3 linked regions of the Macaca mulatta genome follow. The protein of the gene in region 1 interacts with the protein of each later gene in a pairwise test. Links are inferred from orthologs where the notes say so. Each region holds a gene or a part of one and is shown on either strand. Other genes may lie near its edges.

The links. The genes of interacting proteins can lie anywhere in the genome.
Region 2: the proteins of CSNK2B (region 1) and RNF7 interact in a two-hybrid assay, tested with the Homo sapiens proteins (2 studies listed by BioGRID). The link is inferred for Macaca mulatta from reciprocal best matches to the Homo sapiens genes CSNK2B and RNF7.
Region 3: the proteins of CSNK2B (region 1) and RPL5 interact in a two-hybrid assay, tested with the Homo sapiens proteins (5 studies listed by BioGRID and IntAct). The link is inferred for Macaca mulatta from reciprocal best matches to the Homo sapiens genes CSNK2B and RPL5.

Annotation. Positions count from the first base shown.
Region 1 is NC_133409.1:150,651,997-150,657,409, forward strand, and holds the start of CSNK2B (casein kinase II subunit beta), read right to left. Parts: upstream 3,722-5,413; 5' UTR 3,675-3,721; intron 3,092-3,674; 5' UTR 3,081-3,091; coding exon 3,009-3,080; intron 2,061-3,008; coding exon 1,958-2,060; intron 1,395-1,957; coding exon 1,279-1,394; intron 837-1,278; coding exon 761-836; intron 615-760; coding exon 425-614; intron 98-424; coding exon 7-97; 3' UTR 1-6. UniProt on the Homo sapiens protein: Regulatory subunit of casein kinase II/CK2.
Region 2 is NC_133407.1:44,727,386-44,733,520, forward strand, and holds the start of RNF7 (RING-box protein 2), read left to right. Parts: upstream 1-2,140; 5' UTR 2,141-2,273; coding exon 2,274-2,448; intron 2,449-6,135. UniProt on the Homo sapiens protein: Catalytic component of multiple cullin-5-RING E3 ubiquitin-protein ligase complexes (ECS complexes), which mediate the ubiquitination and subsequent proteasomal degradation of target proteins.
Region 3 is NC_133406.1:147,475,807-147,481,828, reverse strand, and holds the start of RPL5 (large ribosomal subunit protein uL18), read left to right. Parts: upstream 1-2,027; 5' UTR 2,028-2,102; coding exon 2,103-2,105; exon of another isoform or gene 2,106-2,348; intron 2,349-3,370; coding exon 3,371-3,440; intron 3,441-3,528; coding exon 3,529-3,644; intron 3,645-4,780; coding exon 4,781-4,915; intron 4,916-6,022.

The sequences.
Region 1 (5,413 bases):
AGGGAATCAGCGAATCGTCTTGACTGGGCTCTTGAAGTTGCTGGCGGCTTGGAGCTGCAGCTGGTAGGCCATCGGATGAATCTTGAAACCGTAGAGCCTGGACCAGGGCAGAGGTCAGAGAGGCAGTAGCATGAGCCCCATCCAGACCCTGCTAGTCACCTGCATTCCCACCTCCCCACCTGAACTCCTCCATGGACCTGCTCAGAGCTTAAGCCTAGTGGTTCCCAACTTCTCAGCTCAAGAACATTCTATGATAAGGTAACTGAAGCACAGACAATCAAATAACTTTCCCACAGTCACTCCGCAGGGAGATGCCGATTCTGGGAGAAGCAGGCCTCAAAAAAGGGCCATGCCCCATCCTCCCCTCTCTCTGGGGGATCTTAGGCCTTTCCTTTTACCCTTAATGACTCTCCCTGCTCCCTACCTGGGCACAAACTGGTTGGCGGGTCTCTTGGGCCGGTACTCGGGATGCACCATGAAGAGCATGTGAGGGAAACCAGTGCCAAAGTAGGCGCCATCCGTGTGATGGTGTCTCGATGACTTGGGTGTGTACACATCCATGCACTTGGGGCAGTAGAGCTTCACCATGGCTTCACCTGGGATGTCTGAAAGGCCTGGGAGACAGCCAGACTCAGGAGGCCAGGTATCTCCCTGTTCCTACTTAACCTCCCCTCAGGACTCAGGCCCCAACATGCTGAGCCCTAACTCCTTCCCGTAAGACTGCCACAAGGTGCCTTCCTTTCCCTTCTTCAACACTCACCGATGGGAAGCATTGGCTGGTTCTCACAGTACACACGAGGACAGTAACCAAAGTCTCCCTGCTGGTACTTTTCCAACTGAGGTGAATAAAATGGAAGGGGTTGGCAGGTAGGTGTGAAGAGAAGAGGCAACTCCCTTCTCAGCTCAACCCATATCACTCTGTCCCCCACTCCTCCCACCTCTGTCCAGAGGCCCCTTCTCTGGCCCAGATGGGCTCTCAAACTCCTATGTTGCCTTTCTTCCAGTTAGGCAGGCTACAAACCATCAGAGCCATTTGTTGTTTGTTCCCTGAGGAAGAGGCAGTCTATCACAACTCTCTGTTCAAGGACTGTCTCCCTCCCTGAAAATTATCCCTTCAGGATGACCCCCAATCAGAATTCAATTCCCAGGCCCAAGCCTGGGGTTCTTCTCCTCTTCTCAGCCAGTTTCCTTAAACAAGGCTTAAACATGACTTCTTGCTGCAGGAACCTGTGTCCCTTACTGCTCAGAAGGAGGCAATTAGGAGCAGAGAGGCCTCACCATCTGGGCAATGCCACGGTTGGTAAGGATGTAGCGGGCGTGGATCAATCCATAAAGCATCTCGGCAGCCTGCTCAATCAGGTCACTCTGGTTGGGGTTGTCTTCCAGTTCTTCATCTGAAACACAGCCCGGCCAAATGCAACCACTTGTTTTTCAGCTTTCCTAGGTGCCCTGCCCATATCCAGGGGGTGCGGACTATTCAGTTCGCCTGGCACCTACTTTTGGGCCTTACCCCATCCAACATCTGGGCATGTGACCCAGAAACCTGGGCTTCTGACCCTTGCGCCAACCCAAGACAGCTCTGTCTTCTCTTCACACCTCTTTAGCCTCCGCTCCCCACTCTCCCTCCCAGCTCCCTCCCCAATACATAACTGCAACAATGTCAATGCAAAAGATGAAACTCTAGACTGGAAGGTGCAAAGCAGGAGAAATAGCAAACCAGACCCATGAGGAAACATATTTTGGAAAACATCTGAATTGTGGATTTAGAAAACATGGGAACAAGTGATATACGTCACAAAACTAGACACAGTCAGGTGGAGGATCAAAATAAAGCATGAATTTGGGGTTAAAGAAATCAGAGAACCAAAGGAAATTTCAAAATTCAAGTAAGTGAATATAGATTTGAAGAGAAAAAAAGTGCATGCACACACACAAAACAACCCTGAGGGTGCCTCACCAGGCTCCAGGTCCAAGATCATGTCTAGAGCTTGTCGATAGTGAGGAACCTGCTCATTGAGTCCAGTAAGATTAAATTTGTCCTGAATGTAGTCTTCATCCACCTGTGGGGACATGGAAGCCAAGAGGGAACCCATATCAAAATCCCCATCTTTGACCTGGGCAAAATGCTCTAACTGATGCCTTATCATCAACACAACTGCATCTGTTCCGCTTGTTTCTCACTCCCAACTCAGCAGAAGTACTTGCGTCTCTCCCTAGTTCACCTATACTCCCTCCCATAAAGCTTTGGCTTTTCTTTTCTAAGGATAAGCAGGTACAGCAATCTTTTTCTTAGACATTCTTTTCAAGATCTCTGTCCCTACTCCTGTACTCCATCTCTAGGAACCAGTTTTGTCCTCTCAGCTGGCTGAGGAGGATGGAAGCTGAACGGCATGGTTTCTGAACAAAACATTTCAATACGTAGCATTTCAATTTTCCTAACAGCCAGCTGAGACATGTACTAGCAGTACAACTTTAGTAATAAAAGATACAGGCTGGGCGCAATGGCTTATGCCTGTAATCCCAGCACTTTGGGAGGCTGAGGCGGGCAGATCACCTGAGGTCTGGAGTTTGAGACCAGCCTGGCCAACATGGTGAAACCCTGTCTCTACTAAAAATCCAAAAATTAGCCGGGTGTGGTGGCGGGTACTTGTAATCCCAGCTACTTGGGTGGCTGGAGCAGGAGAATCGCTTGAACCTGGGAGGCAGAGGTCGCAGTGAGCCGAGATCGCACCACTACACTCCAGCCTGGGCGACACAGTGAGACCCAGTCTCAAAAAAAAGATAAAGAAAAAGACACAAATTGCCTGCTGGAGGGTGGCAGAGTCAAAACTTGGGCCCCAGTTTTGCCACTTTAGCACAGGTTCGTCGGGGGTTATTGAGGGGACTCTTCGTTGATGGGAAGTTTTCAAGTAGTATGTAAGAGAACAGTGTAGAAGTGGAATACGTGAAGGAACATCTGGTGGGAAGATATGTGAAGCCAGCAAGTAGGGAGGTCGAAGAGAACTCACTTCACAGAAGAATTCATTGCCACGGAGCCCACAGAACCAGGAAATCCAGGACACCTCCTCTGAGCTGCTCATCTTCACGTCAGCTGAAAAAAAGAGTGTCAGTAAAGCTCAAGTTCTCCTTCCCTGCCTCGGGTATCCTCCCTCCTCCCACATTAGAACCACCCTTTCTTAAAGGATCCCAAACTCTGAAGCACTCCTCTCCAACTCCTCCAATTTACATCTCAGTTCCCTTTTCTTTGACGTTAAACATTCTTTGGGGTCCCACCACTTGAAAGAAGCCAACAGATACTTTGACCCACCAGCCCGACCCACGTCCCTGGAGCTCCCGAAAGCCAGGGCCCTCTCTTCTCTGTGTCAACTCCGGCAGGGACCTCGACTCAGGCTCCGTACCAATGCAAGTCTCTGCACGACCCCGGCGCCTTTCCCAAGGATTTCAAAGTTTATCACTCTCAAGCAAGAATCGGGCCCCTCCTTTTCTCAAGGGTTGGGGGCGACTGTCAGGTCCCTTTCACCGGATTCCACACATCCCCCCTCCGCTCCTCAAGCCACCTCTCCCTCCTTGCCGGACCTGGTTGCTTCCTCCCCCCGCCCCCATATCAAAGTGCGGAGACCCATGTGCGGCTCCCAGCGACAAGCGACTAGGAGCAGCGAAGACCTCAGACTCACCAGCTGGACGGGGACCAGGACTGGGGTGGGGTAGGGAAGTTGCTACTTCGAAGGAACGGCGGCGACCGCTACAGCGCAGGCCGCGGACCCGACCGCGGCAGGCGAAGTGGGGTGGGGGGAGTGGAAATTGGGGAGGGTGGGGAAGAGGGCAACACGCAAGCGCCAAGGGTCAGGTGCCGCGGTGGATGCCGGGACGCGGAGTCCCCGGTAGAGAGAGAAACCGGCTAAGTGAGGGAAAGCGAACTACCAATCCCAGGATGACCCGCGCACGACCTGGCTGTCACGAATCCCCGGAGGAGGACGCTTGCGGGCGGGGCGCAACGAGAAGCCACCGGAAGCGGAAACCAGGTATGGCGTTCGGGGCCTGGGAGCCTGGGCAATACAGTTGTGTGCTCACTGGGCGAAGAAGCTGACTTAGGGCGGGGAAAGGAGGGAGCCAGGCTGGACCCCTCCTCGCAGCTCTCCTCACAGTTGCCCTCTAGTCCCGGCGCGGTGCTGCTTCCCTGGGGACTGGCCTATCCTTGGCCAATGCGCTGGGTCCTTATTGCCTGTTGGGCCCCTAGTGCGAGTCAGTCCCGCCAGAGACCCTTGACGGGCCTTCTGTTTTACTCCGGGCTCCGGCCTCATGAGGCGAGAGGTGCGGCTTGGCTCCGTGCGTAGGGACTTGGGTTGGGAGGGCTGGGCTGGGCTGGGCTGTGTGAGAACCAGAACGGCCCAGTGCGCTAACCTGAGGTGGTGCCAGCCATTCTGCTCGTCCCCTTGCACTTCTCCATTTCCCCTTAGTCTCTAAGTGTGACCTTCGAACCCTGGTCAGAGTAATGGTGAGGGGCAGGCGTGACGTTATTTCATTACACGGCTTCTCGGCATTCCACAGGTTTCCCTCCGCCTCCTGAGGGCCTTTCCTAACCCAGAGAGTGGATTCCTAGCTCCAGAAAATGGGCTTGGAGCGGGGGCCACGTAGAGGAAGGCGAAGGGCATTGTGGGGGCGTTATGTAAAAGTAGGACCCCAACCGACAGATCCTAGCGCTCGCGCCACCTGGGCGCGCGGAGCTTTGCTCGTTTACTATTGGAAAAGTTCCAGCGCGGGAAACTGAACCGGGAGCTTTGCGCACGCCTGAGCCATCAAGTAATGTGGGTGGTGGTTTTTGTTGTTGTTGTCGCCACGCATGCGTCTCCGTGCCGTGTGGCTATTTGATTGTGTCAACTCTGCTGATCAGAATAGCGCCATTTTGCGGTACGGAAGCTACACGGCAACACGTATAGGAGCCTCTCCCCGAGATCTTCTAGGGAGTGACCCGTCTATTTTTGTTTGGGAAGAGGAAACTCCGAAATGGGATCACGGAAGACTTAAAGGGCCAGGTTTGATTTTTTTTTTTCCTACTGGTATGTCTGTTTTACGGGGTGAGAAAGTGATTTCAGAAAGAGGCTGGTATTTATTGTTGGTAAGGATGGGGGTGGGGGCCGGACGCAGGACCTCTGGACGACTGTCTCATGGAGTTTGATTAATTTTTACTAAGGAGCAAAGTCGGTATTGTAGGGTTTCGTGTTTTTACGCATATACTCTCTCCCTTAGACCCTGCAGAGTCTTAAGTTGTGGGGTCACTTTAGCGGCAGGAAAGTGTTTTTGACTACTTTTTCTCATCCCAGCAGGTCCCTGAGGCTCTGGTTGCTACAGAGTCACCAGGAGCTTGGCTTGCTTGTCGCATCCTTCCCTTGCCTGGTATCATTTTCTCAGTTCT
Region 2 (6,135 bases), on another chromosome or scaffold:
GAGGAGGACAGATATTTGTTTTGCTGCATTCAAGGCCGCCTATAGTTCCTGCCCTTTGGGTGCTCATGATGGCAGACAAGCTCTCATGAAGGTGAACCAAAGGAGGGAAATCACAGGAGACCCATTGGCCCCGCCACGCCTGAACAGCTGCTGCAGCCTGAACTTTCCACCTCACTCCTGCTTTCCCTTCTCCCCATGCATGCTTGCTTGTTGCACTGAACTCCAGTGCATCACTCATTCCTGTTCTCTTTGTCAGGAGAAAAAGTTCTCCTGACATGCAGTGTGTCAAAACCATACTCATCTCCCCAATCCGCCTTCCACTTCCCGCCCCTATGCTCCCGCCTGGCTTCTATTCTCAAATTTCACCGCAGCCGACACCTCTCTCCAGATTTCATGGCTCAGCAAGGGCACATACCATTCCTCCAGCAAAGCCATCCTTCTCCCTTTTCACCATTTCATCCTTTTGTCTTTCAAACTTCTCACCAACTGGGTGCGTTTTATCCTTCTCTTTGTTAGATACCTAGCATTTACAGCCATCTCTAGGCAGATGTGTGGTCGTTCAGTAAGAAGGGAACACATGTTTTGTGTGCTCACTCCAATGGGTGTCTGGCTTATAAAGTTGGTGTGGTCCAATTCCTGTCTGCCACCACCATTGTGCTCTGCTCTGCCCAACAGCTCAGAGAGGTTTGCTCTCTCCACTGGCCCTGAAGGCCCTGAAGGCCTCCCATGTTCCCCCAGTTCAAACTTCACCTCTCCCATGAGGCTTTCCCTCACTGCATCCTGCACCCTCACAGCCCTTAACACACCACTCAACAAATACACATTTCCATCTAACCGAATGTGACCCTGCGTCCATATTTATGTTTCTATAGATTAATGCATTCTTGTTTCCCCTGCCAGGTTCCATTGGCCTGGTTACCTTTTGCCCAGGTATCAGGAGATGAGGGGATGGCGAGAGGCTCAGAATCCAAACTTGACAGAGTAGGTGTCCACCACTAGGTGACGGTGGGATCAGGCATCTCCTTAGGCTGTCTGTGCTTCTGCTTTCTTTTCAGTGGAGATGCCTGCTTTCTTGGAAACACATGTGATGGTGGGCTAGCAGTAGAAGCACTACTGTAATAACAATGTGATCTTTGTCATTTCACTTCTTCGGACCTCATTAGTCCTACATATAAAAAGAGGAAGTTAAACTAGCTCAAATGTACTGAGCAGAAGGAATGGAGACTCTGCAGATGAGGAAGCAGGGCCTGAAAAATACGTGTGGGTTGTGTCGCCACACACCGGGACTCCTGGGATCCTGACCTCTTTTAGGGGTCAAAAGAGGGCAAACTAGTTGCCTAACAATATTTAGAGCTATTTCTCTCTTTTCACTCTCATTCTACGAGTGTACACGGGAGTTTCTAGAAATTACATGGTATGTGAAGTTATCCCTCTAATGATAACCTCTAATGAGGTTATTACTGTGATTTTTAATGAATACATTTAAAAATATGTTTTAATTTCTTAAAAAGAAACATTAATCTCTATGTACGTGTGTATACATATACAGGAAATGTATGAATATTCATTATACATGAATGTACATATATTCATTGTATATATGTATATATATTCATACATATGTGTGTGTGTATATATATATTTATACATTTCCTACATAAATAAAAGCTCTTTAAGGGACTAATAATTTTTAAGTGAAAAGGAGTCCTGAGACCAAAAAGTCTGAGAATCACTGAGCCAGATTTCTAGATCTTTAAGATCATTAATTCACTCAAGAAATAATTGTGCCTCTTGTGGCCAGGCATTTTGTAGATACCGAGGACAATGTGGTGATAAGAACATATTCCCTGCTCTGATAGAGTTTTACACTTGGGAGGGAAAAGACAAACAAGTAAATTAACAAGATTATTTCTGAGAGCAGTAGTTTTAATGAAGCCATAAAGCAGGACACACATTCCAGCACAATCTGTGCGCCTGCTCAGACGTAACACCCCGCAGCGCGGCAGGCGGATTCGGCAGCGTAGCCCCGAGAAGCCCCAAGCCCGCTCGGTCGCCCCAGGAGGGCGGGGGCGGGGCCTGCCTGCCCCCCCGCCGCTGGCGTCCGGTGACGTCACTGGGCCGCGCCAGCCAATCGTGGGTGGCCGGGGTCTGGGCACCACGGTGGCCTGCGGCCTGCGGGCGGCGCTGTGGCCCGTCGGGCGGCCCGGCAGAGCCGCCCTAGCCTCCCGCCTACCCCAAGCCAACGTCTCCGCCGTCGGCTCCGCGGCGCCGCCATGGCCGACGTGGAAGACGGAGAGGAAACCTGCGCCCTGGCGTCTCACTCCGGGAGCTCAGGCTCCAAGTCGGGAGGCGACAAGATGTTCTCCCTCAAGAAGTGGAACGCGGTGGCCATGTGGAGCTGGGACGTTGAGTGCGATACGTGCGCCATCTGCAGGGTCCAGGTGATGGGTAAGCGCTGCACGCAAGGCCGGGGCCGCGCTGCGGCCTCCGGGAGCCGACTTCGGGATTGGGACTGGACGGGCGCCCGCCAGAAGCCTTGGAAAGTCCCCTGCCTTGGGGAGTGGGTGGAGGTCGCCCTGCCCGGGCGCCGGAGGAACGCGGAGCCACGATCCTGTTGCGGCTCCTGAGGGCTGAGGGGTTGTGCAACAGGCGCCCGGCGCCGGGTGGTTGGTGTTCTAGGGAGAGAAATGGGCAATAAACGGAGGTAAACAAGGTAATTTCAGGTAGTGATGGGTGTGACCAGGAAAATAAAACCGGGTGATTGTTGGGAACTAGCAGGAAACACTTCGGTTTGTGTGGCCAGCCCCTGTTCTAAAAGCTCATCGCAAGGTGGACAGAGTAAAGGCCGTGATTCAGCAGTGAACTTTAATAGTCTTGGTCACCATCAAAGTGATGCTCCGGAGTCATCTTCCACAAAACGACACCCTTAGTTCTCCTCGAGGTACACAGGAAAGTGTTCACAGCCATTGCATTTCCGGATTAGCTTACCGCCGCTCTTCGAATGGCTTTTAAATCTGGATTGATCTAAGACGGGTCAGATAGCACTAGCGTGGCTTGAAGGGGACAGTGTGATTCAAGAATATCTAAGTTTCATGGAAGCCGAAGAATTGTAAGCCCTTTTTTCAGAAATGTAGAACTTCACCTCCATTACACCCCCCTCTCCATATCGGATGTCATTTCCTGGAGAAGATACTGCCCTGCTCTGAGTCATGCCTTTGTGGAGAACCCTCTTACAAATATGTCCTCTTTCTGTGATATTTGGAGTTAAAATATTAGACCAAGCAAAATGTTTCAGAACAGCTTACTCTTGTTATATTTTATATGGTTCTAAGATCTCAGACCACTTTGAAAAGCAAGTGCTGTTTAAATGCAAGTTGTATTTTCAGATAGGGCATTTAAAATTACTGTGAGAGCATCTTCAGTGGAGTTCTTTATTGAGGGTAGTTAAAGAAAACAGACATTTCTGTAGTTTGAAAACTGACTTGTCTTGAAAAATGAGAGAATTGGAGAACATAAAGAGAATTGCTGTCCTTGAGGGGGGATGAGACTTTAAACCTACCAGAATCAAGAGATTTCTCAATTTATGCTCTTTTGTCTTTTATTCTAAGGGCTTGTTTCAAAGAGGATTTACAACAATTGGATTCAGATATTTTTACCTTTTACTTTTGAAAGACCTTGTTATTAGACATGACCCACTTATTTTATATGGATCACTTGAGCCCAAGAGTTTGAGACCTGCCTAGGCAACATCGCAAGACCCTATCTCTACAATTAAAAATTAAAATAAAGTGACCAGGCATGGTGGCCTCCAGCTACTCAGGAGGCTGAGGTGGGAGGATCCCTTGAGCCCAGGAGGTCGAGGCTACAGTGAGCCTTTTTCCTGCCACTGCCACGATACTCTAGCTTGGGTGACAGAATGAGACCCTGTCTCAAAAACAAACAAACAAAACATATTAGGCTTTAAAAGTATCTAGTTTATTTGCCAGCAGTACAGCTGCCCCTACCCTCACTTAGGAATCATAGTTTCCAGTTTGGGAAGCATTTTTTAACTGATCCAAGAGACTTTTTTTTTTTTTTTTTTTTTTTTTTTGCAATACAAGTTTTGCTAAACATTTTATCTCCTAAATAAATTCCTTTAGTTTAAAGGAAACTAAACTTTCACTTAGTTCCTTTTCAGTTTAAAAATAATGTTCCCAAAGGGTATTTTCAAAAGATTTCTCTCCCAAAAAGCTATTTCCTCCCCGAAGGAAAAACATTTAAGCAGTAAGTGGAAATGTATAACCTGAAATAATGATTGAAACTTTGCAACAAATAAACTTTACTGAGATATTTTAATGTAGGTCAAAGTATAGGCTATAAATGACACATTTCATCATAAACTTTCTAATTATAGCAAGTATTCTGCTACTACAGGATCAGTCTTGCATATTTGCAAACAGCTGTACTTTGGGTTCAGGAAAGTATTCTAGGCTAGACCTTTGTATTTTGTTTATGAGGTGTTAAAACCCACTTAGAGGTCAGGTGACAGCAGAAGGAAACTTTTTTTCCAGACTTCCTAGTCTTTACCCTAGCACCCTTCTAAAAGGTGTTATTGTACTCCTTAGAAATGTGCTGTTTTAGATTCTAGGAAGATCATTAAAGCAAATTTTTATCTTTTATCTGCAACTTTAGGAATTTGTGTAGATTTGGGTCAGTTTTGATAATCTACATTAGAGCTATAAGCGTAATTTAGAGATTCCTAGATTCAGCAACAAGAACCCACTTTGTTCCCTTTCCTTAGTATTTGGAATTTATCTCACACTTGTGATTTATTATACTTTCTGCTCCCAAGATTTGCCCGTCAGCCCATTCTGATATGGATAACACTCTCATCTTCGTTTCCACTATCCTCCCTTCATTCAGAAAAGAGTGATGATTGCATAGTGAGCAAAGTGCTGATGAAAAGCGTTGAATAGGTTTGCTAGTAGAGCCAGTTATAATAGCCAGGGTAACCCTTCATGACTGTATCACCTTAGATATTTCACGTAACTTTTGGGAGCCTTATTTTCCTAATTTGTAAAGAGGCAGTTGGGATCACCAACCTTAATGTTAAAATTCTGTGATTGCACAGAACTAGAGCCAGATACAGGTAGCACGTCTTCACTGTTGTATCACAACCCTCATGATATTTAGTTGTCTGTCTACGTCCCCATTTGCTGGTGAGCCCCTTGAGACCCAGCCTTGGTCATTTTGGTGTCTCCAGTGCATAACTCCTTGCACAGAGGAGTAATTGTGGGATTGAAGAAAACCTCAGGAGGCAGTGGTTGTTTTTAATCCACACTGAAGAGACTAGGGCGGTGGTGTGTTTTTAAGGGTAAGAGCATGTGGAGAGGAGCAAACAAATGCCTGAGCAAAACCCAGTATAAGAAGAGAAGCAGGCTTCAACTCCACCGTGTTTCTATTTTTACAGAATTATTTTTCTCCTATTTATGTTAAAAACTATTTTCTGTTGGTTTGAACTTCCTTTTACCCAACACTGACTCCTCTTCCAGCTAGTGAATGAGTCCATTTTTGGTCCCTAAAATATTCTATATTACTTTTTTCATTAAGCTGATAGTATTCCAGATTGAATTTTGAAAACTTCTAGTACAGCCTTTAGGATCTCATTTTTAGTGTTTACACCTACTCCACTATATTAGAAGTTACTGTAAGCTCACTGGGCATGCTCATGGACAGTTCATTTTCAAGACACCCTTTTAAATAGCCCATACATATAATGTTAGTATTTGTTTATATGTACATCAAGAAATTCTAGAAGGATACCCAAGAAACCACTAATAAAGTAATTTATTAAAGTACTTTACCATTGCTGGGTAAATGCTTTGGGCTCAGACTTACCTGTAAAGGAAGTATTTTTTTTTAAAACTTTTATTTTAGATTCAGGGGTATAAGTGTAGGTTTGTTACATAGGTAAACTTGTGTCACAGGGGTTTGTCGTACAGATTATTTCATCACCCAGGTATTAAGCCTAGTACCCATTAGTTATTTTTCCTGATCCTCTCCACCCTCCACCCTCCAAAAGGCCCCAGTGTGTGTTGTTCCCTGCTGTGTGTCCATGTGTTCTCATCATTTAGCTCCCAAGCATTTTCTTACAAA
Region 3 (6,022 bases), on another chromosome or scaffold:
AGCAAGCCATGCTAGCCATAGACCCCTGACTGTGACCAAGGGGAACAGGTATACATATTTTTAATTTTCTTGTTATGGATTTATAAGGTAAAAAGGAGAGGGATAAGGATGATAAAGTATATTTAATTTAACATGTTATTTGTTTCATAACTTCTTTGTTTGGATTTTATTTTATTTATTTATTTTTTTGAGACAGAGTCTTGCTCTGTCGCCCAGGCTGGAGTGCAGTGGCCGGATCTCAGCTCACTGAAAGCTCTGCCTCCCAGGTTCACGCCATTCTCCTGCCTCAGCCTCCCGAGTAGCTGGGACTACAGGTGCCTGCCACCTCGCCCAGCTAGTTTTTTGTATTTTTTAGTAGAGACGGGGTTTCACCGTGTTAGCCAGGATGGTCTCCATCTCCTGACCTCGTGATCCGCCCGTCTCGGACTCCCAAAGTGCTGGGATTACAGGCTCGAGCCACCGTGCCCGGCCTTCGATTTTATTTTTTATAGAGACAGGGTCTCACCAGGTTTCCCAGGCCGGTCTCCAACTCCTGGGTTTAAGTGATCCTCCTGCCTTGGCCTCCCAAAGTGCTAGGATTACAGGCCTGACCCACCACGTCCAGCCTGCTTCATGACTTTTTTTTTTTTTTTTTTTTTTTGAGACGGAGTCTCACTCTGTCACCAGGCTGGAGTGCAGTGGCACGATCTCAGCTCACTGCAACCTCTGCCCCCCTCGTTCAAGTGATTCTCCTGTCTCAGCCTCCTGAGTAGCTGGTACTACAGGTGCGTGTCACCATGCCCGGCTAGTTTTTTTATTTTTAGCAGAGATGGGGTTTCACCTTGTTGTCCAGGATGGTCTCGATCGCTTGACCTCGTGATCCACCTGCCTCAGCCTCCCAAAGTGCTGGGATTACAGGCGTGAGCCACCGCACCTGGCCTGAGCTACTGTGCCCGGCCCATGACTTCTAAATATTCAGATGAATGGTATGTGGGTCTTCCCATGAACCCTTGTCCTAAAACACACAAAAGTTAGGAGCGGGCCTGTATCCAGGCAGACTTTCCTTCCTGGTGCTTTTGCCTCCAATGTAAGCAAGGCCTGACCAAGACATGGAGCCCTTTTGGTAGGCTAATAACTTGATAATCCACCAAAATGAAGGTTTTTAAATATTTTCTATAAATACGAATTGAATACGTCTTTCTCTACACTTTCAAAGGTGGCCCTGCAAAAATAGAATCACAATTCCTGTGAGAAGTGTTTTAAGTTTTCTGCTCTAGAGCTCTGTTGACATCGGCCATAGTGGACTCTGTTTATTTTTCCTGTTATATAAGGAATTACAAGTTGGAATCAGAGGTAATTGGCACCCTAATTCTGATTTATCCTAGTGGCAGTGTTTTGGAGTCACTTAACCCTGTCATCCTGGTTGGCCGTACCTTCTTCCAGCCCTGATGGTGAGCAGCTGATACCCTGCTAGGTGCTGGAGAGTCAGAGGTGGACATCAGGGCCCACCCTCGGAAAGTTGACAGTCTGTGGTGGGCTGAAGCCGGTAGAAAGCTGCCGTAGGAAGGCAGAGGAGTGGCCCCTATCCCAGGCTTGGGGCTCTCAGGGAAGGCTTCCTGGGGGTGAGATGGGAGGGTGGGTCCGTTTGCTCTTGGACCAGGATGAGTAGCCCAGAGAAGGCAAGAGGGCTCCCAAGCAAACTTGCCCTATTTAATTTTTTTTTCTTGCTTAGAAAAGCAAAATACGTTTGTTATGAACAAAACAGAACAGAACAGAACAGAACAAAACAAAACAAAACAAAACAAAACAAAACAAAAACGCTGTAGCAAAGAAAGCGAAAGGCTCCACTAATCCTCCCTGCTCCTCCTCACCGCACGGATCCTATGAGATACCCCGAGCGTTGGAACCTTGACAGCTTGTGCAGGCATTCACCCTCCTGCCAGCAGGGGGCGGAACGTAAAACGCTTTGTGGCCGACGCCTTCTCTCTTCCACACGTCACTGGCGTGACTGCCTGCGCTACATACTGCGCCTGCGCAAGAGCTGTGGCCCTTTTCCCCCCCTCTAGCGCCGCTGGGCCTGCAGGTCTCTGTCGACCCGCGGACGCTGGTCTCTGTTCCGCAGGATGGTGAGTTTATGCCTCGGTCTCGGGGCTCTAGATACACGGAGGTTCCCTTTTCTTGTCCGTACGCCAGCCTAGGGCCCGTGTCGCGCGTCGCAGGGGCCGGATGGCGTTAGATTGCTGGCTGTGACTAGGTCGAGGTGCAGCTCCCAGCGTGGCCTTAAATGGCTGCCGCCCGGTGCGCGAACTTGGGGGGAGGGGTTGGCGAAGAAGGGTAGCGAGAGCTTGGACTGCGGATTGGGGAGAAGGGTGAGTTTAGACGGCCTGAGTGGGGATACTGCCGTCTAGTGTGAGGGGGCGCTGGCAAGCGGCCTGGCGTGAGAGGTCGCAAGCAGTCGGCCTCAGCCTAGCTGGAGAACGCCGGAATGGAGGGGGGCTGTAGGTCCTCGGGTCCCGCTCGAGCTCCGAGTACCGAGTACTTCGTGGCTTTTCCGGGAGAATGTCGGAGCGGGCGAGTCTTTTAGGAAGCTTGTGCTGGTGGGCCAAGCAAGTGGCTTTGAAGCCAAAATTGTCAGTGGAGCTTGGAGGCGGAGGTGTTCCTGGGCCCCGGAAACTCCTTTAACGTGGAATACGTGCCTCCTGTCTCTTCCTCTGGAGGCCGTCGCCGGACGAGTTATTAATTATTGGGGTAGGGCCCCAAGGGTGGGATGAAATGTTGCTTTAGCTGATGGGGAACAGTGCTGTTTTAGTGGGGAATTATTGCTGAATGTGCTCTTACCCAGTTAAGCTTTGTGGCAGGTAATTTTGGCTTTTGAAAAACATACGTGGGAAGCGAGAGAGGTATGTAGTTGTTATTTGAGGCTAGATTTTCGAAGTGGGACATAGCGTGTTCCGAACAGACTGACGTTTGGCGCCACTGACTGCTGTCTAGAGCAGTGCTTCGCAAAAGTTTGGCACAGTTGCTGGTGCTGGTCCTCGAAGAAAAAAGTACGGAAATTGAGAGCGTTTAAACCTTTTGAAAGCAATGTAACAATAATTTTATAGCTTTAAATGTAATAAATTGGGATCTGCATTTTGTATGTTTCTTTTATTCCATATTTCTCTAATGATTCGTTTTTATTGTGTTTTATAAAACTATCAGTCTGTGACATGGAATGTAGAGGAAAAACATTCTTGAACCCTAGTTGCTTGTGAAACATGGGATTCTGCAAGTGACAGTTTGTTTTTGCTCTTGAAGTTGGAGTGTTATTTTGTTACATGGTTAATTCATGTCAAAAGTATCATAGGCTAAGACATTATCAAAGTTTTAATAACATCCTTTTTTCTTTAAGGGGTTTGTTAAAGTTGTTAAGAATAAGGCCTACTTTAAGAGATACCAAGTGAAATTTAGAAGACGACGAGGTACTGTCACCTTTTTGTGTTTACAATATTAATCTGCTTTGCAGATGCAGTGGAATATCTTTTCTAAAATTACTTTTTTCTTTCTCAGAGGGTAAAACTGATTACTATGCTCGGAAACGCTTGGTGATACAGGATAAAAATAAATACAACACACCCAAATACAGGATGATAGTTCGTGTAACAAACAGAGATATCATTTGTCAGGTAAGTTATATTCTAGACATTCCCCCCTTTTTTTTTTACTGCTAGAGAAATTGTGCTTGGGAAGCAAAGCACATGGTGTGTGTGTTAGAAGGGCTGTCTAGCACCTCCAAAAGCATTCAGTGAATAATTTCTTTTCCTTTTAGTAAGTCTAGAATTGGAGCCTGGGAAATTGGTACTTTAAAAAATGCTCTTGGTTGGGCACGGTGGCTCATGCCTGTAATCCCAGCACTTTGGAAAGATTGCTTGAGCCCAGGAGTTTCAGACCAGCCTGGGCAATATAGTGAGAGTTTGTCTTCACAAAAAATGTAAGAAAATTAGCTGGGCATGGTGGGGCGCGCTTGTAGTCCCAGCCACTCAGTGGAAGGATTGTTTGAGCCCCGAGGTTGAGGCTGCAGTGAAGTGAGATCACACCTCTGCCCTCCAACCTAGGCGAGAGAGTAAGAGACTGATTTGTTTTATGTGTGTGGGATGGGGAGATTAGAAGCAAGTAAGAAGTTCTTGCCCATCCCAATTCCAGTAGAAGAATAGGGTTTGTCCTTATTTTTCCTATATGGCCTTGTATGCCACTTAACCACTGAAGAGGTAGTTGCGAGTTAAACAGGGATTTAAGCTTGTTCTGCTTATTCTTTGAAATAGGTTTTAATAAAATATACAAAGGTGGCTCCCGCATGAAAGACCTTTAGGAAGTGTCAGTTTGCTGTTGTACCAGGAGCACTCTCACTGGACTCTGAAAGCTAGAATCCTGGGCTTTTACAACTAGGAGAAATTCTGAGAGTTAAGATTTATTGATATTTTGTAGCAGGTAGGCACACCTGTGTTCTGGGCCAATAATTTGTTGATTGTGAAGGCATTGTCTTCCTCCGTACCCAAGTTCAGATAACTAAACATTAGGTTCCTGAGACTTTGCCGAATTTAGTTATGTTTAGTTCAAAAGATGATTGAAATATTTGGATATTCCTCTTTGACTTTTTAAGTACCTCTAATTTACTAGTAACCCAGCTAAGAGTCTTAAGCATTTTAAGTGATGCACATTTATGTCCATCAATGTTTTTTTAATTCCTTTGAAAAGAAATCATTAAGATGTAATGAGAGAGTGAAAGCAACAGATTACTAACCTAGTTTTTCTCTTACTGTAGATTGCTTATGCCCGTATAGAGGGGGATATGATAGTCTGCGCAGCATATGCACACGAACTGCCAAAATACGGTGTGAAGGTTGGCCTGACAAACTATGCTGCAGCATATTGTACTGGCCTGCTGCTGGCCCGCAGGGTATGTACAAGATGACTTTAATTGATGTAGTTTGCGGCTCATTGCTTGGAGAGTTTTCTGTAAGATGTCTGTAAATGGATAAGATAGCTTCAGTTGTGCTTCAGGAGAGTGCCTGCTTCCAGTTTTCTGCCCTGTTTATGGACCTATCTAGGTCAGCTCTTTCCAGTAAACTTTTCTGCAATGACACAAATCTGTAATTTGCTGTCCAGTGGTTTTGCCACTAGCAACCTGTGGCTGTTGAGTTCCAGCAGTATATAAACTTGTATTTGAAAATCTACTTGGCTGGGCACGGTGGCTCAAGCCTGTAATCCCAGCACTTTGGGAGGCCGAGATGGGCGGATCACGAGGTCAGGAGATCGAGGCCATCCTGGCTAACACGGTGAAACCCCATCTCTACTAAAAAAAAAAAAAAAGAAAAAACTAGCCTGGCATGGTGGTGGGCGCCTGTAGTCCCAGGTACTCGGGAGGCTGAGGCAGGAGAATGGCGTAAACCCAGGAGGCGGAGCTTGCAGTGAGCTGAGATCCGGCCACTGCAGCCTGGGCAACAGAGCGAGACTCTGTCTCAAAAAAAAAAAAAAAAAAAAAAGAAAATCTACTTGTAGCTAGTGACTATTTGCTACTTAGGTATACATTCTGGATGTTGGCAAACATTAAAAATGCAGACTTTTGGGAACTCCACTCTAGACCGTCTGGAATCTGTATTTTGATAGTATGTACCAAGTGATTTATATGCACATTAAAACTGGAGAATCTTGGCTGGGCGCAGTGGCTCAAGCCTATAATCCCAGCACTTTGGGAAGCCGAGAACGGTGGGTCACTTGAGGTTAGGAGTTTGACTAGCCTGGCCAGCATGGTGAAGCCCTGTCTCTACTAAAAAAAATAGAAAAAAAAAAAAAAAAAGCCGGGCATGATGGTGTGTGTGCTGGTAGTCCCAACTACTTGGGAGGCTGAGGCAGGAGAATCACTTGAACCCAGAAGGCAGAGGTTGCAGTGAGCTGAGATCACGCCATTGCACTCCAGCCTGGGCAACAAGAGCAAAACTCCGTTTCAAAAAAAAAAAGAGAGAATCTTAGTGTTTTGGAGAGTGGTCATTGATAGGAAGATTCA